Tamandua tetradactyla: one gene and its partner. The protein of the gene in region 2 binds, or shares a complex with, the protein of the main gene of each other region. Links are inferred from orthologs where the notes say so. Each region holds a gene or a part of one and is shown on either strand. Other genes may lie near its edges. The genes, in order: DPF3 and ACTL6B.

Region 1 (16,089 bases), on a different chromosome or scaffold from region 2:
TGCTTGTTTCCACTTAGCATTCATCACAGGCAGAACCACCATAGAGCGCTCCCACGATAATAGATGGTTCTGCATTGGCTAAGTCCTCAGGGAAAATAATTAGCAGGAGAGAATATATTCTCCCCACTCTCACTGCCCCATCCACCCCGCCCTCCCCCTTCCTCTCAACCAGAATCTCCCCTTTCCCCAGAACTGACAGTGGTTCCCTAGGAGAGGGGTAAAGGAGCAGCCAGCCTCCTGCTTTAGAAGCATCAACTTTGTCCTGCTAAGGAACAAGGGTCTAGAAGGAGACACACACAGACTGGAGACCTTCACTGGAGTGGAAGCTCCTAGAGACAGAGAGAGAGGTTGCTATGCTGCTTTAGCTCCCAGGGATAGCCTGGCGACCAGCTTGGGCCAGGAAAAGATGAAGAATACTCAAAAAAGTGCAAGGCAGTTCTCACTGAGCTCAATTGGCAGCAAAGAAAGAAAGGTGAAGTTGTTGATTCAGGGTCCTGGGAGTGAGTAGGGGGCACGATTGAACTTTCTTTTGTAAATTAAAGGAATTCTGTGATTTTTGCAGCAAGCTAGAATCTGAAAGCATTTCCAAGGCTAGCAACCAAGACCTAACTTGGTAGTTCTGGGATGGCACCCTGCCACGATGCCCTTCGTAGTCAATTTTTTCATAAAGAATCAATTCTTGCTGCTGACCATGGTCAACAGCCTACCCTCCCTGCTCATTAGCAGATCTAAGCTCCAGCCCCACCTTCATCCCTTCTCTCTCCTCCTGAGTCATCTCCAAGTTCCCAGGAAAGCTCTCCACTCTGCCCGCAGAGATTCTGCTCCCTCTGGTTTTGTGGGTAAACTCAGTTCAGGGCTGAGAACAAGCAGAGGGCAGGGAAATGAAGTAGAGGGCTTCCCTGGGGCTCATATTCTCACCTATTTCAAACCCAGACAATGGGAAAATCCCACTGAGATTCCCAGGGCTATTTACGCATGGCTGGAGGGGAATGAGGTTTTGCATTTCCTGAGAAACAATGATGAGGCCTGATGTGTAATGCCAGGATCATTTCATTTATTTTGTTTTAATATACTAAAGTGAGAAGGCCTCATTCAGCTAAGGAAACTTTTTTTAGTTCTTCTAGTAACAGCTCCTATTTGTACCCGACACTTTCTGAAATGTTTTCACAACCATTACTTCACTGGGGCCCCACTGGGAGTAAGCAGGGCTGGCTGCAGGGGAAGGGAGGAGAAAGGAGGTGTAAACTCTTCTTACTGTATGCAAAGATAGGTCTGACTTGCTAACTCCTGATTTTCAAGTTGTCCAGTCATTCCTGGTCCTTCCTCCAACCCCTCCTGCCAGACAAAACACTTCCACTCTGTCTAGGAAAACGTCACTCTAGGCGAAAACTATTGTCACAGCTCCTGGAGCCCCCAAACCCAAATCCTGAACAACCCCCCAAAAAACATGGAGCTGTCTGCCCTCAAGGTGGGGACCCCAGGAAGGTAATCCTTATGGAGGTGAAGGGGAGAAATGAGATTCTGGGTTCCCAGTTCCCAGAACATTTATCTCCCAAACTCAGCATAAGCCAATGGTTTAGAAAGTTTAGAGGCTGTGGGCTGCCTGGACTATGGAGAAATATAGCCCCTGAATTTTAAAGCATGCAAAAATGAAGGGAATGCCTCTTTTCTGGAAGTAAAGGGTAACCATTTTGTTTTTTTCTCTTCATTTTGCTTAAGGCTCAGAATGTGCACAGCAGTTTCGGTGCATTCTCTGATGGGTTTTGCAATACACACACACCCCTCCTCCTTTAGGCTAGGAAAAAATTGCCAAGGAAGCTTATCAGGAAAGCCTGATAATAACGTCCTGGAGGAATCCAGGATGCTCTAGGAGTATTACTGAAAGGGGGGGGGCCATGAATTCCAGTCTAGACACTGCTACTATCCCCTGGTTGGGGGGTGGCCCCTGAAGGTTTGCTGGGCCCCTCCACCTCCTCACCAGTAGCACAGGGAATACCTGAGGAAGCTCAAAGAGCAATCAGTACAGGTCCACCTACTGCAGCTCCCTGGATAGCCAGGTATCTGCAGCTGCCCAAATGGAAGTGAAATAAACACTCTTTATTTCCAAGTTCATTGGGATTGGGGACCATGGTGGAGGGGGAGGGTGGTCCAGGGAAATTATGGACAAATGAAATCCAGGGGGAAAAAAAATCCTTTTGTTTAGTTCCCCTTTTTCCTCCACACTTAAAAGAAGAAAAAGACAGATGTTCTCAGTCATTCCAGTCTTTTCAAAACGAAAACTTTCTCTGACTGCCTGTAAGCAGCCAAATCGTCCAACATGTCTTCCACTCCTCTTGCCTCTCGCATTCATCCTCTGGACGGGATACTAATGAGAAGAAAAACACAGAGAAAAGCCCAAATTCTAAGTGACCCACCAGCCTGAGGCCCCTGAGAAGGACTAGGCAGTTCCACCCAGGTTAGAACCTCAACTGGGAGCATCAGGAAGCAAGAATAGAGCAGAGGAGATGGAACTTCAGAAAAGCACCCCTGTCTTAAGCATCCCCTGTAGAGTCACACTTGGAAAACAAAGAAGAATCCCAACTCCGGCCCCTAACTGTCCCTCTGTTTTGATCTACCACAGTAAGAACTGTAAGTTTTTTACTCGAAAGGGATTTTGGCAATCAAGGTGTGTCATTCTCCTCTTAAAGTCAATGTTGCTCAGGGGCGTTACGTGTCCAAGATCACAGAGCTACTTGATGACGTCTGGGACCAGAACTCAAAGCTCCTATTCCAGATCTTCTTCTCCTCCCTTATTCTGAAGTCACCAAAGTTTCAAAAAGTCCCCAAAGCCACTGGTGAGAAATGAGCCTAGAAAGGGGACAGAATTTGGGATACGATCCCAGTGATGGTAGTTTAAAGTTTGGGAATGGGAAAGACCTTTGCTGTAGAGCTTCCAATCGCAGTTAATACGAACAGCAGATTTTCAAGGTGAATAAAAACAAAAAACCCCACTCATTTCACAGCAACCTGAGATGACCACAGTCCCTAGGTTCAGGGAGGGAGGAGAAGGTGCAAAAAGGGGATTAGACATGTGTCATCATTGTTCCCCGGGCTCAGAACCCAGAAAGCTGGGTGGCGGAGGGCTCAATGAGAGCTATTTGAACCCCATTATTAGGGGCTCTGAGCCTAATCCCCTGGCCCCTCCCTACTTCCAAACATAGCCCCTAAAGCCTGCCCCCCTCAAGGCTTCTCTCTCTTCTTTGGCCACCTACCCCCAACTACTCCTCACAAACAGACGATCTAGAAATTCTCAACCAAGTCTGTTCCTATTTTCCCACACTCCCTCCAACACCTCTTAACCACTGCTTTTAAAACTCTAATGCAAATCACAGGCTTCAAAACCCTTCCTTCAGTGACAGTTTTACGATGCTAGCTCCATTCATCCATATGGTTTGACAGACTGTGAAACACTAGTAACCGGACCAATAAGAAAAACAAATTACAAAAACACCACCACACCTCATCTCTCCCGTCACTCACACCACCAAAGAAAACTTTGAAACTTGCAATGGATCATAATATCAATATCTCCCGTTTTTAAACAATAATCTTTTCCAAATTCCAGGCCACACAATGGTTTTATCCATCTACCTCCTACCACCCCCTCCCCACACCCACCCCCAGGCCACTCTTTATCTTTCCTAGTTAAATATCTACATATTTAAAGACTATTTAAAGCTAGAGTCATGCTTATTTAGGTCCCTGCTAGAAAACCACAGCTGGGCAAAAAATATTTCAGTGGTTGTGGGATTTTTTTTTTCTTGGCCAGAAGCTTACCACGTTTGGCTACATTTCTGTTTTCTAGTGACTTTCAAAATACTCAAAAACCACAAAAGTTACTTTGCAAGGGTTGAGATAATAAACAGGCCTGGGTCCTGGTACCTTTTTATGACCCAACCCCATCACCACTACAATCAGCATGGCAGCCTTTAAAAACCAAAACAGCCTCAGTTTCCACTCTTTTTCTAGGGCATGCTCAAAACAAAGGATGCTGACCATGGCTTTTTTTTTTTTTTTTTTTTTTTTTTGCGTGGATCTAAGCAGATGTCTATAACTTTAGACATTATAGTCTTTCTCACATGTATGCAAATTCCAGCTACCTGTGTGATTCCAAAATGATGAGAAAATGAGAAATTTCCAATTAAGTTGCCTCTGAATTCCAGCCCACCTCATGGGCCTGAGCAGCTCCCATTTGGCTGGAAAGCTCTGGATGTCTCCCAGGTGGTCTGCAGGCTGGGCTTTTTTTGAAGGTTTGCCCCATGACAATGCCTCAACTTGGGGTCTGGCAGGAATTAATATCCTTTATGGGTATCTCATCAAAACCAGACATTCTTCCCACTGAAAAATAATGTGTACTAATGAAGTTTGGAGAATTTAGGGCTTTTTTCCAGTGGCAACCAGAAACAGATGGAGAAGGTGGTTCTGAAGCATCTGTTGGCTTAAAATGTCTAAGGGTCCTTTTTCATAAGGAGCCAAAAGTAATGTCCATAAAAGGTTGCAAGTTCACAAAGTTCCAATCTCAATATTCCCCCCACTTAGTACCTCCCACATGCCTCTGCCTCCACCCCAACAGAAAGAGCTAAGTAGAGATTAGAACTCGGAATGTGCCCCCTACCCCTTCCTCTCTGATATCTAAACTAAGTGCTACAGCAAGAGTGACGTTTGGCTTCTAAGTGGTGACAAGCAACTTTCAATGCACAGAACCACTTTACATGAGAACAGAGAAAGTGTAAAGAGGTGAAGATTTGAGGTCCATCTCTACACAAGGACCAACCCTGTTTGACTTTGGCTAAGTAAGTATCAGAGTTGTGTGCTAAATAACAGAACACATACCTCCAAGCGAGGGGACACACTTAGGAAAGTTTCAATACAATTATGTATATGTATGTTCATGGTTATAAACAGGACAAAATAGTTTACTGGCCTCATTCTTTATAGTTACTTGAGGTAAAGCCCTGCTGTTTTATAGAATTATGAAATAATAATGAGTTATTCTTTTCTATGCAGACAGTTATACTAATGGGTACATATGTGCATAATCAAGTCTGGCAGAAGGTGGCAGACATTCCCAGTTAAGTACATATAAACCAGGCTTTTGATAACTTAATAAAAGAGTAAGTTGTTTAAAGTGCTAATAGCAGATTGGGGGGGGGGGTGATTTACCTGAACTAGATAGGAATTAAGATTAGAATTTAGATTAAAAGCATGAAGGTTCCTAGGTGCGCAGACCCCAGCCAGAATACAATCCACACAGCCCTTTATCAAATCCCTGCTTATGATGCCTACATATATTCACTTTACTACCTGGCCTTCATCTTGCCTGCATACGTAAGAAATGAGGGTGATTCTCACACATCTAGGCTCAGACAATGTAGCTGCTAAATTAAATAATGTGTAACATACATTTACACATCATACATGCCCATATAAATGCTTTTAAATTCTATTTGTCCAGATGTGGCTGCTTGGTTGTGGAGCCACCTGCCGCAGCCAACCCCTTTGTGATCTGATCAGTCCAACCGGCTCCTGTTTCTGCCTCTAACACCCTGTTGGGCAGTAATAAGAGTTAAAGCAACAACAGAGAGAGAAGCCAGGCTGTCAGCTTCTGAGAGGAAGGGGGTGAGGAGGGTACACCAAGGGGCAATAAGAAAGGAAGTAGAGGGGAGATCAAAGACCAGCAGGAAGAAAAGCCAGGCTGCTAAGGAAGATGTGGTGTCAGGAACTGGGACCCTAAGGAAGACCCCAAAGCAATGAGACTGAAATTGTGCCATCCAGTTACCCAGGCTATTGAATTATTGAATGTCCCACATGGATAAAGCTAATGTAGTGAAAAATGGCCCATGCTTAGGGTAAGCAGAGCCCTACAGAGGGGTTGCACGAGACCTGAGCCTGCTTCTTCGCAGCACAGTTACCTCCTACCTCGCTATTCCCCAGTACCCGAAACCTTTGTGTGACCAGTTTCTATAGGGGGCATCGATGGTGGTGGCTTTTTTTCTTTTAAGAAAAGGGAGAAAAGACTCAGAATGCACACAGAGAAAATGCTAATGTCGTTCAGCTCCGTTTCATTGTCAGGAGGGACACAGGAGGATAAAAACAGAGCTCTCCAAACCGTTCTCCCGGCTTCCCCCTCCTCCCAGCACCGCCATCCGTCCCCTTCCCTGGATGTGTCTCCGCGCTTTGTTCTAATTTATCCCATGCATAATTTATTCATGTGTGTATTGTTTCCTGATCGGCAACTTTTAAAAGACAAATGAAATATATAAAATGTGTTATTAAACAAGTCGTTTTAAAAAATAAAGGCAGATGGTGTCGGTCTCCCCATAACACCGTGCGTGCTCCAGCGTGAGTAGTTTAAAAATAGTCGAGGGCGCGGGGGTATTGTTTACACCCCCTCACCCCCAGGGAAAGGGGTTGGGATGCAAAAAGGGGCGGTTAACTATAAATGACCACTCAACTTTCACCTGGAAAAAGCAGGCAAGGTGTTGTGTGTAAGTCAGTGGGGGGGGGGGGGGGGAAGCAGAATTACAAGTACATGACACTGCAACTGTTTCTAATTATATAAAGTGCAAGCATAATTCAGAACAAATTCCACTAAGCAGTCGGGATTTAGCCTCCTTTTCCCGCCTCTCTGTCTCTTCCCCTACCCTTAACTCCACCCCTACACAGACACCCTACCCAAACCAAACATGCATCCTCCTATGGTTAAAAAAAAAAATACTGGAGCGAGCAAGGGAACCCTGGAGCCGGAAGACGTTGCACCAGCGCATAAACTGGCTCCTGGAAAACGAGGGTACAGCTTTCCCTATAGAAAACAAACCCGGCGCACATGCGAAATAGATTTCTCTAACTTGAGTTTATCAGATGGCATCAGCCCAGATACGCGATTTCGGCTGAAAATGGGGAAACTGCAAATCGGCTCTGGATTCGATAGAAACTCACAGCATCGGCTGTGCAGCAGCGCGAGCGACTGCAAACGAGGATGCGGAGAAGTTACGCCCATTTATTCTGCCATAAAACATTTTCTTTCTTGGGTGAAACGCCGTGGCGTTCAAGTGTTGTGTATCCGAGCTTCCCACGGAGAGCTGAAAGCCGGGGACTCCTCTCGGATCAGCCTTAGCTTCCAATGCCCCTCCCCCGCCTCCCCAACCCGACCTTTAATTATATATATGTTTAAAACTCCGAAAACTGGGACATTCCTATCCTTTTCCCTTATTGCTGGTGAGAAGTTAACCAGTGCAAATACGGCCGATTCTCCCAGCGCGTTCCTTCGCGTTCGAGAGCTGTCTACTGCCTCCGGGTGCGAACCTGGTTTTAAACTCCCGGAGGAGCCCGGGAGGCGGACGCGGACGCGCGCGGGTGAAAGAACCAGGATCTGTTTAGGCAACGCACAAGGGACACGAAACTCCCCTCCGCCCGGACATCCCCTCCCCTAGCCCGAGGCTTCCATCCCAGCAGGGAAGTCCTGGTGGAATGGGCACCGATCCCGAGCCCACGTCGCGCCGCGAATCCGGAGGGAGCCTCCCCCCCCCCCCTCTGCCAACAGCACAGCCAACATCATCCCCCTTAGAGCGATGCTAGTTTTCTGAGCCCACCCCCGGCTCCGCGATAGCAAGCGGACTTGGCGGCTTAACAGTTCCACCGACTGAAAGGAAGGAAGGAAGCCAGGATGAAAAGAAGGAGGAAGGCAGGCAGGCAGGAATTGGCTGTCGAACCCGGGGACTGGCCCCCGCATGTCCTTGCTCAGCCCGCCCCCCCACCCCCACCCCGCCGCCCCCCGCTTCGTCCCGGATCTGGGCGTCCGCTCAAAGTCTCCCGGCGGCGGCCAGAGGCACCTGCCCCTTGCTCTGGCCGGGAGCAGACACTGCCGCTCAGGCCGGGGGCCCCAAGCCGCCTCTCCGCACGCCTCGGCATTTCACCCAGGGGAAGCAAGAACACCATTCATAAGACCTGCAGCTTCGCTGCCTCCAAATCAACCCCAAGTTAACCCGAGTCATTAATTTACTACGGCCAGTTCGCCCGCAAACACACACGCATACATGCACACCGGCTACCGCCCGGAGCGCCGTCATGCTCCGAGGGCTGCCCCGGCAGGAAAGCCCGGGGCAGCCACCTGGGCCCGAGGGCTCCCGGGACCCGCTGCTCCCCCCCCGCGGTCCTTCCAACTCCGGAAGGTTTGCCCAAACTCCCCGCGAGCGATCGGAAGGCGAAGAGCGCCCTGCAAACTCCTGAGCCACCGCGATCCGCTTGCCGCGCGGACCAAGCCACCCGGCGGAGACTGCGGGCTCTGAGGCGCGGGACTCAGCCGAATATACCCAGGCGGCCCCTGCCCGGCACTAGCCCCCAGCTCGACCGCTCCCCGAGCGGCGCTCGCCACCCGGCGAGCCCAGGGGCTCCGGAGACCGCGCTGTCCCCAAGCTGCCCGCAATCCCCCTAGCTGTGGAGCGCTCGGGCGCCAGGCTACCCTGCCGATAACCCTTCTCTCTCTCCGTCCACCAATTAAGCAGAACCCAAATGTAACAATTTTCTTCTTGTTAATTGCATCTCCTGACATTTCTGTGCGTTGGGGGAAAAGAAAAAGATGAAGTAGGAGCTGAAAGAAAAGAGAGAAGCCCCGCGGTGACTGGAGGCGCCTGCAAGCGCAGTGCTTTGGCAGCGCTCAGCACGGAGAAGGCGCCTTTTTTTCATATTGAAACCACGCGGAATATGTACATTTTTTAGCCTTACTTACGCTTTCAGGGGGTTGTGAATGACAGTCGCCATTTTGCTACAATGTAACAGAATATTGTCTGTCTCAGAGTTCTAAAGGTTCGCTCAGGGGAAGCGGCGAGCCAATCAGAACACGGGATACCGGCCCGCCGGCCAATCGGCGCGGCTGGTCGCCAGGTGGGCAGGGCCTGCGCGATGGTAGTTATTAGGGGAGCTGTCAAAGCCCAGAGGTCACTCCCTTTTGTAGAGCCCAAGAGCGAGCAGGTCTTAAAGGGGCAGTACCGCGCGAGCAGCTCCTTTTCGGTTTGGGGAAATTGGAGACGCACGGGACGAGTATTCTAGTTTGGTCTGAGACCCTACTTTTCTAAATAGCTGCAAAATTTGCGATCTTGAACAGAAATATTTAAGTATCGCCAGCAAACCACTGAACCCCATTCATTATCTTTCGGCTTTGCTAATAGTGTTTTTACTCTCCCAAAGAGCAAGTCCTCTTGTTCCCGTGCAAAAGTTGAAAGCTTGCTGTTTCGTCAAACAATGTACTAAACGTAGCCGTTTGCTAATGCTCTGGGTCCTACGACTTTTTAATATTCTTACTCCCGAAGTGTTTTCTTTATCTCGGCCACCTTCCTCTCCCCTGTAACTGCCGCCGCACTGCCGCCGCTGTTCCTGACGACTGCAGGACAGCAACTCCCCTCCCCCTGAATGTCTCAATGTCAAGTTCGCTCTCTACAGCAGCCCGGGCTTTCGTTACGTAATGCAGGGTGGTCACACTGAGCGATTCCCCAATACCACCCCTTCTGTTCACCCCACACTCCCGAAACTTCGGAAATGATCGCGGATCCCGCCAACTGGAGAGCTAAGCTCTCTGACCTTTAGGCTTAGGGATAAGGGAGGTTTAGGGAAACCAGTGGAAGCGCCTTCTGTTACTAGGAAAGCGAATAACTTGAAGACAGGAGTTATGGAGCCTAGAATGGGTGTTGCTAGAGTCCCTTTCGGGGAGTGGCACACGCGATTCTGGCGTCATCTTTCACTATTTAGGTAGAAGCTGAAAAGAATTTGCTAATGAATAATCCGGTGTGACCCGAGGCGTTCCGAGAGACCTTCTGCTTCAAGTTAGTGTGAATTCCCTCACTGGCGAACCCCTGACAAAACTGGGAGACTTCTGCGAAATCAGGCTTCCACTGGGCAGCCGGGAAGCTCCGGGTGGATGAAATCGTACTGTCGAGAATAGGGCAGGCAGGGCCCTCGTTAGCATAGAGAAGTCTGGCTGTTTAATCAGGTCAAATAGCTAAGATAGTGGGGGAGGGGTGAGAAGGGGAGAATGGAGATGCCAGATTGCCCTCTCAAAGCTTTGCCCTCTCACTTCCTTTCTCAGCGCTCCTCTCAAGGCAATGAATTTTTTTTAAAAGAAAAAAAAAGTTCCAAAACTTCAGAGTTCAACTCCCTACACCACTAGAGTTACAGATAAACAGAACATGGCTGAATCAGTATGTTTGTAATAGACTTGAAATTTTTAACTCCTCTCTTTCTGATTAGTTAATAGCAGAGCCAGGTTCTATGGATTGCCTTTGTGACTTTTTTGACAGCACCTTGCCAGAGATGGCAGTTTGAAAAACGTTGTCCCCTTTTCAATAATTGAAGTTTGAAAACACCCTTCCTCATTAATTCAAACATATTAAGGGCTTAGTTCCAAAGCTTATCTTTGCCTGAGATGGACCCTGATATCACTGAGAAGCAACTATTATGTTCAGATGAAGAAGTTCAGGCTTCTCAGATGAGGTTGAAGTATTAGTCATAATTCCCACGAGTTCGAATTGAAGGACAACATATTTTAATATATGCAGCTTTATAAAAGAAGTAAGAAATATAGTATTGCACCTGCCCTGAACAATGCTTACAATTTAATGGGAGAAGAGAAGAAAAACAAAGTATTACATCTAAAAGAAAAAATATATACTCAAAGCATATACATATAGTTTACTGTGTTAAGGCCTTGGCATAATTCCTAATATCTGGCACATATGAAAGTGGCAGCCCATGATTTTTCAAACTTTTTCTTTGCCTTCATTTTGAGAGAGTTTTCATCTGGAATTGAAACATCTAAGTTACATTTTATAATGTGAAAATCGAAAAAATAATGAAATAAAACTATGTTTTTTTAAGTAGGTTAATCTTGGGTTTTTTTTGTAACCCAGTAGAAAGCATTTTAATTCAGACACTGCAGGTACAACTTCTAAATAAACAGAATTGTGAATTTGCCTTTTGTCAGTTCTCAGCTATATAAGTTATTATTATTTTCAACTTTATCTTCTTTATCATAGATCACAATGTTTCTACAGTAAAGCAGGTCCCATTCTGCCAATTTGCAATGGTATGGCATGAAGCCAAATGCTCCAAATATGTCTTAAATATACCAACCCACCAAAAAGACACATGTTTTTCACCAGAATGCTTAAAAGCAAGAGGGCTTAGAATGGACATGCCTAAAGGTGATAGGAGCCTAGTAGAATTTCAGAGAATGTTTAGTTTTGTGAGGCAGTGTTGTATATGTTAACGGAGTGTGGGCTCTGAAATCTGTTTTCCTGAGTCCTTCACTTTCCAGCTGCATTATCTTGGGCCAGTTTACTTAGCTACTCTATGGTGTCAGTGTCCTCATCCGAAAAGTGGCAATAATAATAATAGAATTTTCATACGGCTCTTGCCAGGATTGAATAATATATGTCAAGTGTCTGGCACATAGCAAGATCTCGAAAAATGGTGACCATTATTTTTACAGATACTTAATTCTTTCCTGATGGTATAAGGTACATAGTTAAACTTTATTTAACTTATTGCTCTGAGAAAAATGGCAACTGAATAACTTTGAGGAAAAAATAATAAACAGGAATTTTTCGATCAGGGGTCATTTCACTACTTAAACCATGTCCTCTTGCTCAGTAGACTTTCAAGACACTTTTAAAATCACATTTCTAAAGCTCTATAGATATTCATATACTTGAATATACTCCACCCAGCCCCATTTCTTCCATCTTTATATAGCTGCCTAGGCAGCCTAATTTGCTAGGCAGAGTGGGTCCAAAATAACCTCTTCCCCATCCCACCTGAGAGTCTAGAGCTGCACTGTCCAATATGGTAGCCAGAGACTACCTGTGGCTATTGAGCACTTGAAATGTGGCAAGTACAAATTGAGATGTCATAAGTATAAAATACACACTGGATTTCATAAGGCTTTGTATGATAAAAAGGAATGTCACATATCTCATAAATCATTTTTTATACTGATTACATGTGGAAATGATATTTTGGATATATTAGGTAAATAAATACATTATTGAAGCTAATATTCCCTATTTCTTTTTACTTCTTTTAATGTGACTACTAGAAAATTTAAAATTGCACGTGTGGCTCCCATTGTATTTCTATGGACAGTGCTGCTCAAGGCTGTGTGTTACCAGGGAAGTAAGCGTGGGGCCTATCTCAGTCATATGCATTCATTCTGCATAATCTTTTCAAATCTAACCTTATCAATTAGCAGACTCTCTGGTCCAGCTCAGGTACATGTTCAATGCCACCCATCCAAAGGAACATTTGGGGTACAACAAGGACCCATGCACCCAAACCACAAGGGGCACCCATACCTGTTCACTCCTAAAAAGTCTGAAGTTTGTCTCAGCAATGAGGAGATGTCCGTCTAGAAGTAGGGAAGAATGGCACTTTTGTAGCAGGTGCCAAACTTTCCAGCTGACTTTTTAAAGGCACATCCATATACGAGAGGGAAGTAAAGAAAGGAGATGCAAACTTCAAGAACAGCCAGAGTTCATTTAAAAGAGGAAGCATACCACAGAAGCCGTCCAAAATAAATGCAGTCCCTGGTGGGCTCTGGGGCTTGAAGGAGTCTCGGGTCTTGCGGGCATTAGAACAAGAGCAATCCCTCCATTTATCTGCAGACTAACCAGCCATGCCCAGGGCAGCTGGTTGACCTGGGCTGGTTCCCTGAGATCCAGAACCAGCTTTGGTACATTCTAGGCACTGAGCTGAAGAGGAATTCTTTTGAAGAATAGAGGGCATAAAAACTGCAGCCTATAAAAAAGCTAACCATACCACATGACCTGCAATACCTCTCCTAAGTATACTCAAAATAATTGAAAGCAGGGAATCACATGGATACGTGTAAACCAATATTCATGACAGCATTATTTACAATAGCAGAAAGGTGGAAACAACCCAAGTGTTCACCATCCGATGCATGGATAAACTGCAGCAGAATATATATATGAATATTATTCAGCCATAAAAAGGAAAGAAGCGCTGATACATGCTATAATATGGATGAACCTTGAACACATTATGCCAAGTGAAAAAAGCCAGACACAAAAGGATAACTTATATGGCTTCATTTATACAGAATAGCAAATTCATAGATACAGAAAGTGGATCAGAGGTTATCAGGGGCTTGGGTGAGAGGGGAATGGGGAATTATTGCCTAATAGGTAAAGAGTTCCTATTTGGAGTGATGAAAAATTTTGGTAATGGATGATGGTGATGGTAGCACAATGTAAATACAATTAATGCCATTGAATTATACACTTAAAATGGTTAAAATGGCAATTTATATATCATATATGCATATATAACCACAATAACTTTCTTTAAGTTAAAAAAAGAAAAACATAACCTGGCTTTCTCTTTTCTTAGGGAAAATGGTAGGGAAGGATTCTTACTCCCTTTACAATTTCTCAAAGCGTAGAAAAGAAAAAGCATATCAAGCTCTGGATTTGGGTGATGCTCCTAGGGCCAGGCCTCGAAAATCACATATTTCTGAGTAGAGTCATAAAAAGGAATCAATGCTTGCTGCTTCCCACTAACTTAGCTCATTCAGTCACTCATCCATTGAGGAATTTCTATGAGGGAGACATTGTGCTAGGCACAGGTGGCAAAATAAAAACAAACCAGACATGAAAACAACCCTCAAAAAGATCTCATCCTGCATCTGGAGGGAGAATAACGATGGCAGGCCCGCCCCATGAGCCAGCAGAGCAATTACTTAATGTGACTTAAAAGGGAAGAGCAGCCTGCTCAGCCAGTCCCCTTTTCCTGGCAGGGATCATGGGATCCCAATGGATGCGTCCTTGGGTGTTTATTAAATGACTACTATGGACACCATCAAAGGTTCATTCCTTTGGGTTCCCAAGGTTTCAAGACATTGAGATTTTCATAAACTAGTATAAAGGATATATTAGGGAATATACTAGGGTATACGAGTCAAAGGTCCTCAGTAAGGCTTTATGGAGAAGGTCATGTTTAATTTGGGCCAAAGTTGGGTAGATTTTAAAAATGAGTCAAGGGCTTAAGGGCCTTTAGACCTCCCACCCATCTCCGCCAACAGCTAATTCATATAGAAAATATTTGGAGAATCTCTACTCTGTGCCACCATGCCACCCTCACTCCTGGACCTTGGGGGTACAGAGAGACCTAAGATAGACCAACCTATAAAGGTTATAAAAGCTCTTATTCAAAAAGTCAGGGAGGAGGGAGCAGGCAGTTGCATCCCAAAGCCATGGGTGGAGGAGCACAGGGCACTGTGGTGTGGACCAGGGGCACCTAAACTGACCAGGTTATCTTTTCAGAAGAAGCGACTTCTGAGCTCAATCCTGAATGGTTCATAGGAGGAAAAGATGTCCCTGCAGAGGTGGTAGAATATATAAAGATTTTGGGGGTGTGAGAAAGGGCAGCACAACTTCAGGGGATCTCCTTGGTAGAGGGGGACTGGTGAGACAGAAAAAGCTGGAGAGGCAAGGACGGGGTGAGAATACTTTAAAATGTGGTGTTTTATCTGGAAGGCAATAAGGCAACAGTGACAGATTTTAAGCTAGCAGTGAAAATGAAGAGATGATCCTTTTTAGAAAGCTCATTTTGGCAGTGATGTGACAGTGGAGTGGAGGGAGGCTAGAGGACCCCACTAGGAGGTTGTGGGTGTCAAGGCTGAGCACCAGAGGTGAAGATCAAAGGCAGATGCAGTGAATTCTAAAGAGGAAGCACCACCAGGACTTGCTGTGGATTTAAGGGAGACCAAAGGGCCCTGGATGATGCCAGGTCTCTGGCCCCTGGTTGTGGATATGAGTCAGTTTTACTTGACTGGAGAAACTTGAAGTTAAAACCAAGACCAGTGCCTGATGGTCAGAGGCCTGTAAAGCGCTGGGCCTTTCTGTTGTGCAGGATGGGCTTGTTTTAAGACCTTAATCCCCCAGCCCACATCTTCCTTCCCCCTAAAGCTGATATAAATCTGTTCCCCTGGGGGATCAGTCACCTAGGCTGGGTCCATCACCTCTGGCTGTGGACTCCACCTTCTCTATGGACTCCACCTTCAAGGGAAAGCCTCTTCCAAATCCCCTCCTACCTACTAATCCCCACCCTTTTTCTACTCCTGACTGACCTGAATCAGCTTAAAGGAATTTCCCTCCAGGTAGTTGCATCTTAAGAGGAGATTCTAGGACACTCCAAAACCTTTGCAAGGAAGGGATCACAAGACACACAGCACACACAGTGCATACACACACACAGCCGCACACATACCGTGGCTTGCTTAGAATCTCAGGCACCAAGAAAGGCAGCGTGTGGGATATTTTTAAACAGGAGCTTTCTCCACTCAAATCACACAGAGTAATCACAGTCAACCCTGAAGACTGGCCCCAGGCCCTTTCTTCCCTTGCTAATACTGGATGACCACAAGCAGGCCCCAATTCTTTCTCCTGATAGAACCACAGGTTGAAGGGTTCTATCTGGTGGTGATGGGGTTTTTTGTTTGTTTGTTTTAAGATAACTTGGGCTCCACCCCGGCCCGACCTCCTCCACCTGCCAAGACTGCACTTTCCAAAGCCCTCCCTCAGTCCATCCACACCAACACAGAATCCAAAGTCCTCTTGCAACCTTGATCAAAGCAGCTGGCAAGGTCCCCTGCATAGGGGGACAGAAGGGAGAGCAGGGGAAACAAACAAAACCTTCTGCCATTGCCACCGTGGGGATTGACTGGAACCATGTTTGGACCAAGACATAGAAGAAGAAAATTCCCTTGAGTCTGTACACACATGTGCAGAAATAAGTATTCATCCCTCTGGGTGATTTCCTAGGTAAAGAAACTTCTTATCATCTCCAAAAGTGGCTACCCCAAGGGCTCCCAAAGAGGGCTTTCTGTGGAATATTGCTTTAAGCATGGTTGCATTCCAAGGCACCTGTTTCTCTCACTCACATCATTTACACGACCTCAGGCTCCTACTCTGGCATTAGGCAGGAATCCTCCAGGAGGAGTCTAAAAGCCAAGCATAGGAGCATGTATTCAGTCTGGTG
Region 2 (16,666 bases):
TTGCCTCTATCCCCGCAGTACCCGCTGCCCCAGAAGCAACCTCGCTGCCTCCCTTTTCTATTTGCCCCATTGCCACCCACTCCATGACTCCGGGACTAGAGAAAGAGCCTCGTCCCAAGGTCCCTTCGCCTCTCGCTCACACCGAACCCCGAGTCTCATGCCTGCCCTGCCAAAGTGGTCGTCACCTCGCTCCCTTGGCCTATCCCCCAGGTGTCTCCCTCTGCTGACCCAGTATGGTGGGCAACTTTCCCAGAACCTGAAGTCATCACATTCATCCCAGCAACCTCTCCAGCTCCCTACTCTCCTGCCCCCTGATTGGTGTTGGGGAGCACCAACTGCCCTTTCTCTAAACTCAGTGTTTGTTGAATGAATGAGTGAAGAGGCGGCGGGCTGGTGGAGCCTGACCAGGTCCTGTCCATCCCCCCACCCCCCACCCCCAGCCCCGGGCCCCGCCCTTCCCCCTCACCAGCGAGGCCAGGATGGACCCCCCGATCCAGGGGCTGAACTTGCGCTCCATGGTGCTGTTGCTGGCAATGAGCTTCAGCCGCATGCTCTGCGGGGAGAGAGGGGCTGGGGGAAGCGGACCCCTGGGTTCTGGGAAGGGCCAGGGCTGGGGAGGGGAAGACTGGGAAGCCACCGGAGCCAGGGGTAGGGGAGGGTCTGTTCTGGCGGCCAGAGCCCCTGATGTGGGGGAAGAGGGGAAAGGGCTCTGTCCTCCGGGACCCAGGCAGGATGGGGGTCCAGGGGGGCTCGTACCGGTGGGGTCTTCTGGGAAAGCTCCCGGTTGAGCCTGTCAGTGAAGCCCTGAAGCAGTGTGTTCCCGCCGGTGACAATGACGCTGCCGTACAGCCCCTGGGGGCGGGGAGGAGGCAGGAGCGCTCGGGGAGCAGCCCCTCTCCCCCAGCCCCCCACCCCGCCCCAGCACCCCAGCAGCCTCAGGCCTCACCGGGCGAATGTCGATGTCGCACATGCCAATGCTGGTGGTCACCACGTGGCCCACTCCTAACATGGTGTTCCCTGACAGGCCCTGCTGAGAAAGGCCACCTGGGCAGGGGGCCCTCTGACCCCTCTTCCCAGCATCCCCTGCAGCCCTTCACCCAACTCCCCTCTTCCCCAAGATCCAGGGACTCCAGCCAGCCAGACCTTGACATTGGACGGGTCAAAGAGGCCCTCGGGGATGCGGAGCCGCTCAGCGCCATAGTCTGTGTTGTAGCCATTGGGCATCTCGTAATGCACCGTGGGCATCTGTGCTGCCACCCTGCCCGGAAGCAGCGAGACTGCCTGGGGTGCTCAAGGAAGACTGGGGCGGGGGCCGCACCAGAGCCCTCCCTTCACCTGGCTCTGCCCTCTCCCATACCCTGGCCCCGGGCCCCACTTACTGTTCATCATAGGGAGAGTCAGAGACCTGCAGCACAGAGGCCTGGAAATCCTGGATCACCTCCTGAGAACCCGGGGAGGAGGTGAGGGCCTGGCTTCCCTCCCGAGCCCCTCAACCCCCACCCCGCATTTATGGCAGGGGACTAGGAGCTGGGGAGGGGTAGGGGGACTGGGGAGATGGCCCTCTCCAGAGCCTCACATTACACATGTAGTTATGCCAGGACTTGGAAACCTGGGGTAGCTTCTCCTTCTTCTTCCAGTTCGGGGGGGCACCCTCCCGTACAGGCTCCTGCGGGGGCACAGCCGATGAGCCCTCGCCCCAGCCCGCACTTGCCAATAGCCCGCTCAGACCACATGCCTCTTTCCTAGCCCTCGGCTGGCTCTGCAGCCAAGTGGCACTGGGGTCTAGGCTCTGTTGGACAGAAAAGCTCTCTCCCCCTTTCCTTGCAGAGAGAAGAGAGAATGTGGAGATCTCGTCCCTTGTGTGCCACAGGTGCCAGGGACACCGCTGCTCTGAAAGGCCCCAATTAGGGAAGGCTGAGGGCCCAGGCAGTGCAGAGGGAGCCCAGAAGCTGAAGGAGCTACCACATGCTGAGCAGGGTCCCCTGTGGGGGTCCAGGGCAGACCCTTTGGGTGCAGTATCCCATTGACACTCACAACAGCACTGTCTGCTGTCATTTCCACTTTACAGGAGAGAGGACACTGTGGCCCCGGGACCCTGAATGTCAAGCTTTAGGTCACGCAGCTCTTAAACGGCAGAGGTGACCCCTGAGGCCCTGGACTCCCTCCCACAGGCCCTGACACATCACACTACCAGCTGGCTGCCTGACTTTGCCAAGTCCCCCAGCCTCTCCGAATCTCTGGTTTCCTGACTGCGAGACCAGGGGGCCCTGCTGCCGTGTGCGCCACCACCTGATGGGCCAGTGGACGGTCACAGGTCACCCAGCACCTTGGGGTTGCAGCCCTGGGATCCCCCGAGGCCACACCTTGGCTGCGATCATGTAAGGCGGGATGATGTCAATAGCCATTTCCTGGAAGAGCTCCCGGCACTGCATGGAGATGAAGTCCCCGGCCAGGGGAGACTTGACTATGCCTGGAAGGGGAGCCGGTGTCAGGGACTGACCCTACCAAGCCCCGCCCCTGCCCCCTGCTGAGACGCCACCTTGCTGCAGCACGTAGCCATCATGCACTGGGATGGCTGTGGTGTGGGTGGCCCCACTGTCCAGCACGAGGCCCGTAGAGCGTCCATTTGCGAAGCTGGCATTGGTCACATAGGTCAAAGAGACAGCGGCAGCTAGTGACGGGGCTGGGACGCAGGGCTGGCCTGCTCCCCCCCTGCTTCCCTGGAGTCCAGGCTCCAAGCCCAGACTTCAGATCTCACATTGATGACCCATCTCCTGAGACCCCAGTCACTTCCTCCCTGTCTGAGTGACAGCCTCTCCTCTCTTCCTGTCCCCTAAGCAACTAGCTTCTCTTTATTTTGAGGCCTAAGTCCTACGAGCTCCCAGTCACTCCCGTGCTGAGTACATGGTTCACTGCAAAGCGCATCATTAAAAATTCAATGTTGGCCAATGGACAGTTTGGGAAGGGACCTCTTTAGTTTCATACACCTCTCCCTCCCTCCCTCTCGCCAGCCTCAGACCGTGCTTCTTGCTTGGCCCAACGCTCTCTCTTCCTAGAACCATCTCCTGGCTCAAACTGGTCCGACAAATGAGAAAGGGGCTCTGATCTGGTCACCCCAAGATCCAAGGCACTTAGCCCAGGAGCTTTCTGCACTGCTGAGGTTAGGGGAGGGGCCTGCCCACCCAGGTCACTGACCTTCACAAGATGAGACCCAGCCCCAGCTCAGAGGACCATGTGCCCTTGCCCTGGCCCTCCTCCACCCAGGCAGAGCAGCTCAACCCAGAGGATACGCGGTGAGCACAGCCGTCTTGCATAAGAAGAAGGCAGGAATGTTATACTGTTCGAACATCAGCTCTGTCAGCTTCTCCCGCTTGGCCCGTGTGTTCCACTGGGGAGAAAGTGCAGGAGGGAAGGATTCAGAGAGGTACAGACCCAGCACACACACACACACACACACATACACACACACAATTTGACCCCACACAGGTCTTTAGAATGTGAGTTAAAGGTCTCAGTCCAAACCTGACTAAGGAAAACAAGGCTCAGAGAAGGGAGGTAATTTTCCCAAGATTGCACAGAAAGCTCTCAGCAGAAATGAATCTTGAGTCATGGGCTCTTGGCTCCTGTCCCAGTTGTTTTTTATTATACAATACATACTTTAGGTTCCTTTCACTCCTCAGTCCTGTTCCCCATTCTAATTACCTCAGAGGCAAGAAGGAAGGGAAGAGGATTTCTGGGTAAAATATGGTGGATTGAATAAAAGCATCTATTTTTTTTTTCCTCCCAAGATCCCAGCAAAATTATAGTAAAGGACCAATTTTAAAAGACAATCCCACAAATGGCCAAGCACCTGAAAAGGTGATCCACATCATTAGCCATCGGGGAAATGCAAATCAAAACCACAACAAGATGCCACTTCAAACCCTTAAGAATGGCAATTAAACAAATGAACAAACAAGTGTTGGTGAGGATGTGGAGAAATGGGAGCTGGTGTAAGTTGCTGGTGAGAATGTAACATGGGTTAGCCACTGTAGAAAACAGTCTGGTGGCTTCTTGAAAAGTAAACATAGATTTATCATAAGACCTGCAACTTCTCTCTTAGATATATACCCCCAAAACTGAAAACAGATACTTGTTCACAAATGTTCACAGCAACATTATTCACAAGAACTAAACGGTAGCAACGACCCAAATGTCCATCAGTGGATTAATGGATAAGCAAAAGGTGGCATATCCATATAACAGGATATTATGCAGCCATAAAAGAGAATGAAGTACTAATACATACTACAATGTGAAAGAACTTTGAAAATATTCTGCTAAATGAAAGAAGCTAGACACAAAATGCCACATATTGTGTGTTTCCAATGCTATGAAATATCTGGAATAGGTAAATCCAACAGAGACAAAATACAGATTGGTAGTTACCAGAAGCTTGGTGGGGTGGGGGGGGAGGGGCAGTGACTTTTTAATGAGTATGGGGTTTTCTGTCGAAGGTGATGAAAATGTTTCACAGCTGATAGAGGTAATGGCTCTAAAACATTGTGAATGTATTAAATGCCACTTTAACTAGTCACTTTACAATGGCTCATTTGATATTAGACATAAAAAAGACGTAAACTCTCAAGGTTGGGAATAACAAGAAAGCAGAAAATAGCAACACACTTTAGAAAGTAGGAGAGCAGACATGTGAGTGGTAATGGACTTGGACTCAAGAAAGCTGACTCCTAAGCTGGTAGGGAGAAAAGCCAGGTACTGTTCTGTTTTAAACTGAAGAATCCTCAAAGGGCACATAAATTGGTAGTTTCAGATTTGTCTGGAAGTGTAAGTGAGGGGAAAGCTAATATAAGATTGTCTGAAGTTATTCAAGTAATAGGTCCCTAAACTCTCTACAAGTTCATATCCCTGGGTTTTTGCCCTACCTGGATCCCAGCAGAAACCTGAGATTTATTCTATGGAGAGAATAAAGCAAAGGGTCTCTGAGCTGTGGGAACACTTGACACAGTTGGAAGTAGGGGCACTATACTTTAAAGAAGAAGATTAAGTGACGCCATGCACACTGAATGCTGAGAACCCAGCCCTTTTCCCTCACTTGGCTCCTAGAAAGTGGGTGGCCAGGGCTCTCTTCAGTCTGGAAGTCTTCTTCATTACAAAGACGTAAAGATGCTGATATCAGAAGCTGCCCAAAAAATGTCCCTGTCAGTTCGCCTTGTAGCAAAAATCACAGTCAACACTCCCTACCTCCCAGCTACACAGCTTCTAATCAGCCATTCTGTCTCCCACTCCTAAATACAAGCAAATAACAAGGATTTCCAGAAATCTGAATATGCCTCTAAAGTGAGACAGACACCAAAAAAGGGAGATGGGTACAGAAACAAAGGAAGAAACAGAGATTATACAGTGAGACAAAAACGGCTTCCCCACCCCACCAAAAATACAAACCAACTAGCAATAATATCTGTAGGAAGATAACAGATGATGGTGCACCTATGAAAAACAAGAATCAAAAGCAACATTCAGGGAATAAAAAAGAGTCCTTGGAAACTAAAACTACAAGAGCAGAAATGAAAAACTCAGAGGAAAAATTGAAATCGAGGGGGGATTCCCTAGAAATTAGAGCAAAAAGATAGAAATGGAAAAGAGAAAGAAAAGATAAGAAAACTAGAGAACCAATTCGGGTGGTGTAGAATCCAAATAACAGAACTTCCCAAAAGAGAGAATGAAGGAAATTGAGAGAAATCATTAAATAAATAATTGAAAATATTCTCACTGCACTGAAAGACATGGGTTTCAAGATTGAAGGACATACTGAGTGCCTAGAGCAATGGACGAAAATAGACCAATATCAAGACACACCATTGTGAAATTACAGAACACTGAGGACAAAGTAAAGATTCTACCAACTTTCAGAAATGAAAACAAGACATCAGAAATCAAATGGCTTCAGTCTTCTCATAACAACAATAAAAGCTAGGTGGCAATGAAGAAGTGCCTTCAAGATTCTGATGAAAAATAATTTCCAATCTGAAGTTTTATACCTAGCCAAGCTATCAATCCAAGGTCAGATATGCAAGATCTCAAAAAAAAATTTACTTCCCATGACCTTTCTATGGAAGTTACTGAAGTTCCTGGGGCCCTGGGTTGGGAGCTAGGCAGGTGTGGGAATCAGTGAAGTGGGGGGCCTCTGGGACTTGAGCAACTGAACATGAGGGGGTAAATCAAAAGGATTCATGAGATACAGAAACAGAAATGCTAACACAGGAGAGAAGCAAAAGGATTCCCTAAGATGATGGTGAAGGAAGATGCCAGGTATAGAGGGCAGGTAGTCCAGAGTGGAGAATATCAGTGGGCTCCTGGAGTGATTTCTTCAAGATGAAATTGGTAGAATACCTAATGGAATTAATGTTTTGAGAGAAGATGTAGGTAACTGGTAGATAATTGAAGGTCACATTACTGATAGGTAGATAGAAAACTAAGCAAATAAAAAAGCAAGCAAATGTCTGTTTTAGGGAGAACAAAAGGTTGTATAGGAAAGGAAATGTAATCATAGTTTGTTGCCTGGCTCAGCCTTGATCAGAATACACAGCAACAAGGGAGTAAACACTGAGGACTGATCTTTGAAGAAAACAAATTAAAATGCAACTATACTTAGGGGTGGGGAACAAGAAATGTGTGCAGTGTGAGGTGGAAATTGAGCTAAATGTTCATTTTATCTAGTGGGAAGTCCACAAGCAGCAATTTAAGCATGATATTTAGAGATCTGGAAGGAAACACTCCCCCCCCCAAAAAAAACACAAAAAATTGGCTGAAAGAGATGAGAAGCAGTTGTCTTTGGAAACGAGGAGTTGGAAGAAGGGGGTAGGAACTGCCCTTCTTTTCTTATACTCTATAAAGCAAATTGATTCTTTATGTGTATATAAAATGTCAAAAAACTTTAAGTTAAAAGGTCTAAAAAAAGGAATTTTGAGGGGAAGGGGTATAAAAGGGCATGTTTAACATGGATTGGGGGAAGGGCAGGTGGATAGAGCAGGAAGAGAGAGTGAGGGGTGGATTCTAAGCCAGGAAGGAAGGGAAGTGGTTGAAGAGCTCTGAAGTTGGAAGGAAAATCTGACAAGGGAGGATGTGGTATGACCAATGGTAGGGGCAAGAGGTGAGAGGTGCACGGTGGAAACGAAGTGCCTGGGCCCCAGGGCTGGACTAGGGGCTGGGCCGAGGCACTTACCGGGGCCTCGGACATGAGCACTGGGTGCAGGTTTGGTTCAGACTTGACATGTTTGCTGTAGGTGTGATCCAGGATGGCACGGAAGCACTCCCAGTCCTCAACTGGGCCCAGAAGACCAACGTGGAAATATGTGGTTGGGCAGGCAGGGGTCCCGGGACAGGAAAGAAGTAGAAAGGAAAGAGGCTAAGTTCAGAGAAAGGGGAATTGAGGCAGGTCTAGCAGAAAACCCCTCTCCCAAGAATCTGGTGGGCCCCTGGGTTGGGAAGCAGGCAGCTGTGGGAAGCAGCAAGGGGCTCCCCAGGGCTGGGCAGTTGTAAGGAGGACTCCGTGGGTGTGAGGTGCTATGTCCCAGGTTGTGGGGAGAGGTCTCCCGCCTGTATCAGGAGGTGGTGGCTGGGGGCCCCTTACTCATGCCGTTCTTGAGAGGTGACATGACCTCGGCTCCATCCCGGGGCACGTGCAGGGCGTTGGTGTCGATGTGGAAGATCTTTCCTTTCTTCTCTTTCTCCCCCTCCAGCTCCAGCCCGCCCCCCTCCTCCGCGGCCAGCAGCCCCACCGTGGTGGGGAAGTCAGCCTGAAGGGGGGAGGGTGGGCAGGGAGAGGGATCACCCTCCTGCCCGCGTGCAGCTCGCCCCGGGGTTGACTCCCACACTCCGGGTCAGCAGAGGCTGGGCTGTGAGCACCCCAAGTTACCGGAAAGTCTGGAAGGGGAGTCCGGAGCCCCGGGGATTTGGGGAAGGGGCTGGAAGGCTCACCTTGGGGCAGTCCTCCCCAGCGTACCCAGCGCGGACTGAGAAGGAGCCAATGTCAAAGACCAGCGCCCCCACCTCATCTGTGCGGGGAGACACATGTGTCAGGGGTCCTCCCTCAAACTCTCTCCCCCTGGACAGCTCCAAGGGGAGGGCAGGGCAGAGCCACAGTCTCTAGTCTCGCCGCCTGGGACAGGTGGGGGCTTGGCCTGGAGTCTGGGGTCCTGGCAGTGGGGGTCAAGCCGGACAGAGTCCGTCCTGCCGAGTGGCCTTGCTCAGCAAAGAAGGAGGGGGGCCGGGGTCCCGGCGGCGGTGGGTTGAATGGCCGGAGGGGTTGGACCCGGTGCACGCGGGGCTTCCCGGGGAGGACAGAAGGTAGGGGTGGCGCGGGACCCAAGCCCCGGGCTGTTGCCGGCTGGGGCGCCGAGTTGACAGGCCTCGGGGTGCCCGGAGCTTGGGTCGCACGGGTTCGGGGTCCCAGGGCTCCGGCTCCGGCCCGAAGCCTGCGGCTCGCTCACCTCCGCCGTAGACGCCCCCGCTCATAGTGCCCTCTCAGCGCTGCCGGCGGCCCGTGGGCGGCGGCGGGATCAGCACCGAGGCGGCCGGACAGCTCCCGGGATCCCGGGCGGGGCGGGGCGCGCGGCGGCCAATCGGGAGGCCGGATCCCCCGCCCCCAACGGCGCTGCCGATTGGCTGCGAGGCGAGACAATAACCCGGCCCGGGGGCCGCTGCTTTAAAGGGGCAGAAGCCCCAGAGTGGGCGGGGACGAGAGGGCGAGGAGATGACCGGGACGGAGAGAACGGCCGTGCGGGATGGGCAGACCGAGAGGAGGAGTAGAAGGAAATGGGCTCCCCTCCGTCCGGAGAGCAGGACTCCGACGCATGTCTGATGGGGTCCCTGCTCCCTTTCTATTTAAATGGGGTCCGGGAAGAGGGCGCCGTAGTCCCGCAGAGTCGTCCATCCTCAGGCTCTAGAACGTGGTTCAGCAAAGCCAGGGTCGAGAGCAATCACCCGGAGAGGGAGGAGAGGCGAGAGGCAAAGAGAGGACCCGGAGGGGGTGTGTCTCCATCTTCTCATCTTTCTTTCCACCCTGGTCATTTTGATGGCCCCTCTTTTCCTCCCGCGCCCCCTAGTGCCTGGACCTCAGATACACACGTGTGTACACACGCTCACACAGAGGCGCTCAGCTTCCTTTCCCTACCCGCCTCTCTTCAGCCCCTTTTATTGCTCAGGAGGCATTTATGAAGCAGGTTTTGTATCCGCTCCTGGCTGGACACCTCCACAGCGGTTTTGAAAGGGACGGTGAAGGAGCGGCTCTTGCAGCCTAGGTTAGCCAAGAGCCTCTTGTGTAAGCATGCATGTGTAGGCGTGCACCCGTATATACTTGTTTATGTGTGCTTGTGCACGCGCATGCATATCTCTCTTTTCATGTGTACATATGTGCATGTGTATGTAAGCATGTATCGGGGACACTCTTACCTGCTTGTTTGGAGGCTGGTGGCAGGGGTGGGGGTGGGGGGGGGGGTGTCTTTAAGACCAGAAATGGCAGAGGAAGAGGGTACTGTGTGAGTACAGCCACAGCGTCCCTGAAGGGTCTCTGCACACCAGATGCCTATCCTGGAAGAAGTTTCACCCTTCCCTAGCCAAAGGGCAGATGGTTGAGCTGTCTCATTGATTTCCCACTGACCACAGTGGCATCTGAGGCACCTGGGGTTGGTCCTGGGTCCAGGACTGGCTCCCCAGTCTGGCGGATCTGGGCGCAGTGGGAGGATGAGCTGTAGGGGAGAGAGTAGACCCCGAAGCTGGGGCATTGAGACTATCCCAAGTGACCATAGATCAGTCATTGGCCTCTCTATGAATTGAGACCTAGGTGAGTTGGATGAGTGCCTTAACCTCTCGGAGTCTGTATTTTTTCATCTTTCAAAGTGTCGAGGTGAGGATTAAAGGAACACTGCAGGGAAAAATTATTCCATTCACAATCTGGTTTTATGATATTTAATGATGTAATCGTCACTTCCTGGGTAAATTCACCTGGTCAATTCCCACTACTCCTTGGGGGCAGCCACCTCACTGTCAAAACCTGCCCCCGTTGGAGAAACCTTAGTGAGCAGATGCCTAGGGAGTCACTGGGAAGGTTATAGGGTTGAATATGGGTTGGCTCCCCATTACATGGGATCTTTTTTTTTTTTAAGGTTTTTTTTTCAGTATTACATATTTTAATTTTTTAAAAATTTATTTTGTATTATCAAACCAAAACAGCATACAAACATTCCATGTATGGTGTACAATCAATGGCTCACAATATCATCACATAGTTGCATATTCATCACCACAATCATTTTTTAGAACATTTGCATCACTCCAGAAAAAGAAATAAAAAGAAAAAAGAAAACACTCACACATACCATACCCTTTACCCCTTCCTCTCACCGACCACTAGTATCTCCATCTACTCAATAGATTTTAACCTTTGTTCCCCCTATTTTTTTCTATACCCCTTATCAGCCCCTTTCATTGTTCACTAGTATTTCAATTTACTCAATTTATTTTTGACATTTGTTCCCCCATTATTTATTTATTTTTAATCCATATTTTTTACTCATCTGTCAATATTGTAGATAAAAGGAGCATCGGACACAAGGTTTTCACAATCACACAGTCACATTGCAAAAGCCATATCACTATACATTCATCTTCAAGAAACATGGCTACTGGAACTCAGCTCTACAATTTCAGGCACTTCCCTCTAGCCTCTTTAATACACCTTAAACTAAGAAGGGGATATCTATAAAGGCATAAGAATAACCTCCAGGATAGCCTCTCGACTCTGTTTGAAATTTCTCAGCTACTGACACTTCATTTTGTCTCATTTCTCTCTTCCCTCTTTTGGTGGAGAAGGTTTTCTCCATCCCTTGATGCTGAGTCTCAGCTCATTCTGGGATTTCTGTCCCACGTTGCCAGGGAGGTCCACAACCCAGGGAGTCATGTCCCATGTAGAGAGAGGGAGGGTGGTAAGTTTGCTTGCCATGTTGGCTGAGAGAGAGAGAGGCCCCAGACATGGGATCTTGGGGTTTTGTTTGAATTGTTGAATGGATCAATTTCTTCCTGAAAGAGCCCAGCTCTCTTGTCAGCCATTGAGAGAGGGCCTTGTTTCATTAACAGCTCCGTCTTCCTCTCCAAGCTTCACTGTCCTTATCTATAGAATGGCTGGTGGTGAGGACTTAACCTGAGACCAGAATCAGGTGCCTGGCTAAGAACCGGGCCCCAGGACTACTCAGTAGTCATTGGTCCTTCAGAACATACTTGGGAAGTTTTTGAGGCTTTAATATTATTAAAAACAAGTCCAAATTCTGTAGTTTATCTGGTAATGAGGAGGGAAGTTTCCTCTCAAGCCTGGTGGAAAAGCTACAATCTGCTATCTACAGGACTGGACTTGGATTCCTTCCTAAGCAACTGTGTTCAACTTTCACTGGTCATGGGATCTGACATGAGTCCATTGTATTATGGGCATGGTTACAGTGAAGGGAGTTAATATATTTCATTTGTCCACTCACTGACTCAAGGGACTTTTTTTTAAATGCTTACTGTGTGCCAGGCACTATGCTAGGCATGGGATTACCAAGGTGTCTAAGGTATTTCTGCTGTCAAGGAATTTTTGAGCTGGAACTTAGATCTAAATGGAAGTAGGGTGCATTGAAGACTCAGAAGATGGAAGAGCTACCTGTCTTTGAGAGCCCAGGAAGGTTTCTAGAAGTTTGAACTGAATCATAAAACATTTTGGTACATGTGGGAATAGTTAGGAGTTCGATCTAGAAGGAGGATTAGACATGAGCTGTTGGCAGAGGCCAGTGCCACTGGGGGATGAGACTAGACAAGTCATCAGAGACCAGCTCTTTCATGCCTGTAAGTATTTAAAAAAAATTTTTTTTTTTGCTTTTTCTATTTTCTTCTTCTTTTCTGAAACTATTTTTATTTAGCAGACACAAAGCATCTACTTTATGCCAGGTACTGCTATAAATGCCTTACCAATATTAAGTCATTTAATTTATCCCCAGTTTGCAGATGGGGAAACAGAGGCATTATTCTAGTCTGCTAGCTGCCGGAATGCAATATACCAGAAATGGAATGGCTTTTAAAAAGGGGAATTTAATCAGTTGCTAGTTTACTGTTCTAAGGCTGAGAAAATGTCCCAGTTAAAGCAAGTCTATAGAAATGCCCAATCTAAGGCATCCAGGGAAAGATACCTTGGTTCAATAAGGCCAGTGAAGTTCAGGGTCTCTCTCTCTCTTAAGTGAGAAGGTTCATGGTGAACACAGTCAGGGTTTCTCTCTTGGCTGGAAGGGCACACGGTGAACAAGGCGTCATCTGCTAGCTTTCTCTCCAGGCTTCCTGTTTCATGAAGCTCCTCGGGAGGCGTTTTCCTTCTTCATCTCCAAAGGTTGCTGGCTGGTGGACTCTGCTTCATGGTGCTGCAGCATTCTCTGCTCTCTCCGAATCTCTTTCATTCTCCAAAGTGTTTCTTCTTTTATAGGTCTCCAGAAACTAATCAAGACCCACTCAGATGGGTGGAGACATGTCGTCACCTAATCCAGCTTAACAACCACTCTTGATTAAATCACATCTTCCAGGGAGATGATCTGATTACAGCTTCAAACATACTTTGAACAGTATTGAATAGAGATTATTCTGCCTTTACAAAATGGGATTTTGATTAAAACATGACTTTTCTAGGGGACATACATCCTTTCAAACCAGCACAGGCATGGAGGTTAAATGACTGGCCCAAGGTCACTCAATTGGTAAGTGACAGAGTTAAAATCTAAACCAAGGCATATGAAAAATGTTAATCCTGGGCAGGTGTTATGCTTTCATTCATTCAATAAATGTTCCCTAGGTGTCTGGTAGGCACTGGGAATAAAGCATAATACAACTTCCATTGAGTTTAATGTCTGTCCAGGAAGGTAGATGCCTAAATGATTAATTTCATAAACAGATCTGATGGTTCTCATATTTCAAGCTCCCATTCTGGGTGGACAAACCTGAACACCTGGTAAGAAGGTCCAAGGCGGTAGGAGCAGGCCTCTCAGACCCCATATCCTGTAAATGTTTTGGCATCTTCCGGGGGTCTGTTCATGGTTTGCTGAGCTCTCATCCAGAACTGTGTCAGATCAAAAGTGTGCCTTGGCTTCACTGAGAGCCGCTGGCCCAGTGCAGGTGGCAAATGCCCAAAAATAAACAGAGTCCAGTAAAGGCTGCAACAGGAATGGAGCCAGCATTGCAGCGGGGCACAGACAACAGCATGGTCCTGGAATGCTTCAAGGAGAGGCAATATTTAGATTGAGCCTGAGAAAATGACCTGAATTGTCCGAGCTGACAAGGCAGCGGGGGGTGGAAGACATTCTGAGTAGAGGGGACAAGACCTGGCCTGTGTGTCATGCAAAGAAGTTTGGCCCTCTTTGTGGAATTGATGGGGAACCACTGCTTGATTTTAAATAGGAGAGTTATATGTTCCAATTTGCATTTTAGAAAGATATCTCTGGCAGCTATTTGGAAGATCGATTAGGGACAGACTGTCCTGGAGGCCAGGAGATAGGCAAAAACTAAGAAAACAGCAATTGGCAAGCAGCAGAAGGGTTGGATTTAAACATCTGGATAACTTCTGAGCAGAAATTTGTGATGCCTTTAAACAGGAAGGGACTTGTACTCTCCGTCCTCCCCCTTCCCAGTGAATGCAATTCAGGTATGGCAGTGGGAGCTGCCTGGGTTACCTTGGATCCAGAGATGGGAGCTACTTGCTGAGGATGGCAGAGATGCCCCCACAGTGGAATGGCCACTTTGGGCTTGTGGCTTAGGCCATTGTACTTTGGGGGCCTCTTTGTTTCAGAAGCTTAGACCATATCTAATTAGTTGATCATCCTTTGTACATGGGAAATGAGGGAGTAGGAAGCTCCTGGGTGGGTGGTGGTACTCTTAATTGGGCCAAGAGATTCAGGAAGGAGTAGGGTGGGGCAGGGTGGGGCGGTGTGGAAGATAATTAGTTTTGACTATGTTGGGTGTGGAATGTCTGTGAATACTGGTATGTAGTAAATATTTTAACAACCAACTCTGGGGCAGTGGGCGAGAGGAAAGATCTAAGGGATTTGCCGATCTCCATTCTGAAAATACTCCCCCCAGGGCTGCTTTCAAGTTTCTTACTATCAACATGACCTTACTGAACAAGGAGTTGGGAAGAGCAGCGTACAGTGTATGAGCCGGCACAAGCTGACTCCAGCGCACCACTATTCACGAACATTCGGCTGGAGATATCCGCTCTGCATTGGACACACACCAAGACTGCACTCCGGCAGGGACATTTGGGCTAGAGATGGATGTCTGAGAGTTTTGAGCAATCAGGGGGTAAAGTCACACTAGTGGATGAAATCACCAATGAATTACACAGACAGTGAGAAGAGAAAGAGGATGAAGTTGAGGTCATGGGCAACACCAATGTTTACAGGGGGCCCTGAGGACGAGAACGTCAAGGAGAATGAACAAGAACAGTAAGAAGAAGCAAGTGTCCCATGACCCATCAGAGCCAGTTCATCTACTGGCTTACTTCTATGTACCCCGCATATCTCTCCTTCTCCTTCCCATTGGCATCCAAACAAGCTCTAGGAGCTCCCATTAAAAACAAATACCTTGACTTGGCATTCTTTTCCCATTGTGCCATTTTCCTACACCCCCTCTAAGCCAAGATGTCCAATGGCTTGGGCACTTTGGCTGTCTCCCTTGCCTCTTTTTCTCACTTACCCTCAGCCCACTGAGAGCAATGCCAGCCTCACCCTACCAGCCACTAAAAATGCTCTGGACAAAGGCACCCACCAGTGGTCTCTATGTCATTCAATCTCCCCCACACACTTTTCAGTCCAGTCTTGCTTCATCCCTCTGCAGCACCCAAGAGTTTACCATTGCCTTTTTGGAACATGTTTTTCTTCTGGTGTCCAGAACTTCACATTCTCTTGATTTTCTTCTTAGCTCTCTGGCTTCTCCTTTGGCAGCTCGTTCTCTGCTGCCTGACCTCTAAATGTGGGAGTTTCTCAGGGCTTGGTCGTAGGCCATCTTGTCTCTTTCCTGAACCTCTTTATGACTTCACCTGCTCTAATATGCCACTCACTCCCAAGGCGCTATTCCAACCCAGACTTCCCTGCGGAGTCCCAGACCTGCTTAAATCCGCCAAGTGAACACATCTTGCGTGTCTCACAGGCACCTCAAACCTAACATGTCCCAACCTAAAACTCTTGATCTTCCTGCCTAAATGTGCCCCCTCTCAAGGGCCCTATTCTCAGCAAATGGCACTTCCAGGCAACTAGCACTAATTGTTACTTCAAGGATTATCTACCATCTGTCTCCTTTCTGGATTGTAAGCTCCCTGAAGGCAGCAGATGGTGCATATGCTGTACACGGTTGGACCCTCTGGGCCTACCACACACCCCACCCTGATACCTAGCTGGCGCTCGATAACTATTTGCTGAATGAGTAAAAACAGGGAAGCATGTTGGCACAGAAGCCAACATGAGGGGAAGCAGTGTCAGATGCCCTAGAGATTAGCAACATTGATTTCTAGTCCTAGGCGGCTAGTTTTCTGAGCGACTTTAGGGAAGTCATTTTGCCCATTTGTAAACTGAAGAAATTGAAATACATTATCTCCGAGATCGCTTCCAAATCTCATAGCCTATTGACATCTATCACGGACTGCTAATTGTGTCATTGAATTGGTAGGTGCATGTAAACGGAATTTATGCCTAATAAGGAATGTGACTTTTTTATGTAAACAAATTGTGCTTTGAGAAATGATAGGTGAGATCCTTAACAGAGGCTAAACCAATAGCGTTGGTTTAGATAGTTTTACTTTCTATATTGCACCGGGACGCAAAGGTCATTTGTTGAACTTTCCAAAACATTTTCACGGGGATTTTGTAGCAGTCCAAGAGACTTGTGAGCGGGTAGCCATGCACACCGTCCTTTTACAGGAGCAGAACCTGAGGTCTATCCTTTCATTCTCATCCCAGCACAAGGACGGTCCACGGGGGAGTGGCAGCAAGTGGCTGCTGTTGCTATAATTGCACGGCAGAGTCACATCCCAACGCAGCAGCCCTCGGTCTCTGTTTTCATTACTATAAAATGGGGATAATGCTAATACTTAACCTCACCGGATTGTCCTTACTTAAGTAAGGAACTCAATAGAGGAGTTGTAATGTCAGGGTCGTGCGGCCCTGTAACGGGCTTTCCAAAACCCCCCTGCCCAGCGCTTGGGGAACTGCCCCGTCGGTTCGAGTCTCAGACGTCCCCCTGTGCTGCAGCTCAGGGACTTGGGGAATCGCAGCTCTTACCGTCAGCCGCCTGGTGGCGGGCCCTGCCCTGCCCTGCCCTGTCCCCGGCCGGAGGCCTCTGACTCCGCCCCCCTGATGAGGGGCGGGGCCGCACCAGTGCGGGGGCGGGGCCAAACCGAGAACTGGGGCGTCGAGCTCCCCTTCCCAGCCTGGAGCCGCCCAATCCGGGAGGGGCGGGGGATCTGTCACGTGACTACCGAGCGGGTCCACCCTCCCCTTTGCCGGTACCACCTCTGCTAGTCCCGAGGGGGTAATGTCCTCATCTTTTTCGGGAAGCAAACCATTTATTTTGGTCCGTTTTGCGTTGAAATAGTGTGCAGTGATAT

What was found.
Region 1: ACTL6B (region 2) and DPF3 share a complex: the UniProt entries of both Homo sapiens proteins name them as parts of the BAF complex. The link is inferred for Tamandua tetradactyla from reciprocal best matches to the Homo sapiens genes ACTL6B and DPF3.

Annotation. Positions count from the first base shown.
Region 1 is NC_135338.1:31,483,862-31,499,950, forward strand, and holds the start of DPF3 (zinc finger protein DPF3), read right to left. Parts: upstream 8,831-16,089; 5' UTR 8,800-8,830; coding exon 8,768-8,799; intron 1-8,767. UniProt on the Homo sapiens protein: Belongs to the neuron-specific chromatin remodeling complex (nBAF complex).
Region 2 is NC_135349.1:8,737,723-8,754,388, forward strand, and holds the start of ACTL6B (actin-like protein 6B), read right to left. Parts: upstream 8,515-16,666; coding exon 8,490-8,514; intron 8,055-8,489; coding exon 7,978-8,054; intron 7,797-7,977; coding exon 7,631-7,796; intron 7,324-7,630; coding exon 7,223-7,323; intron 3,389-7,222; coding exon 3,291-3,388; intron 2,635-3,290; coding exon 2,540-2,634; intron 2,471-2,539; coding exon 2,364-2,470; intron 1,667-2,363; coding exon 1,577-1,666; intron 1,442-1,576; coding exon 1,380-1,441; intron 1,259-1,379; coding exon 1,144-1,258; intron 1,028-1,143; coding exon 947-1,027; intron 853-946; coding exon 757-852; intron 554-756; coding exon 467-553; intron 1-466. UniProt on the Homo sapiens protein: Involved in transcriptional activation and repression of select genes by chromatin remodeling (alteration of DNA-nucleosome topology).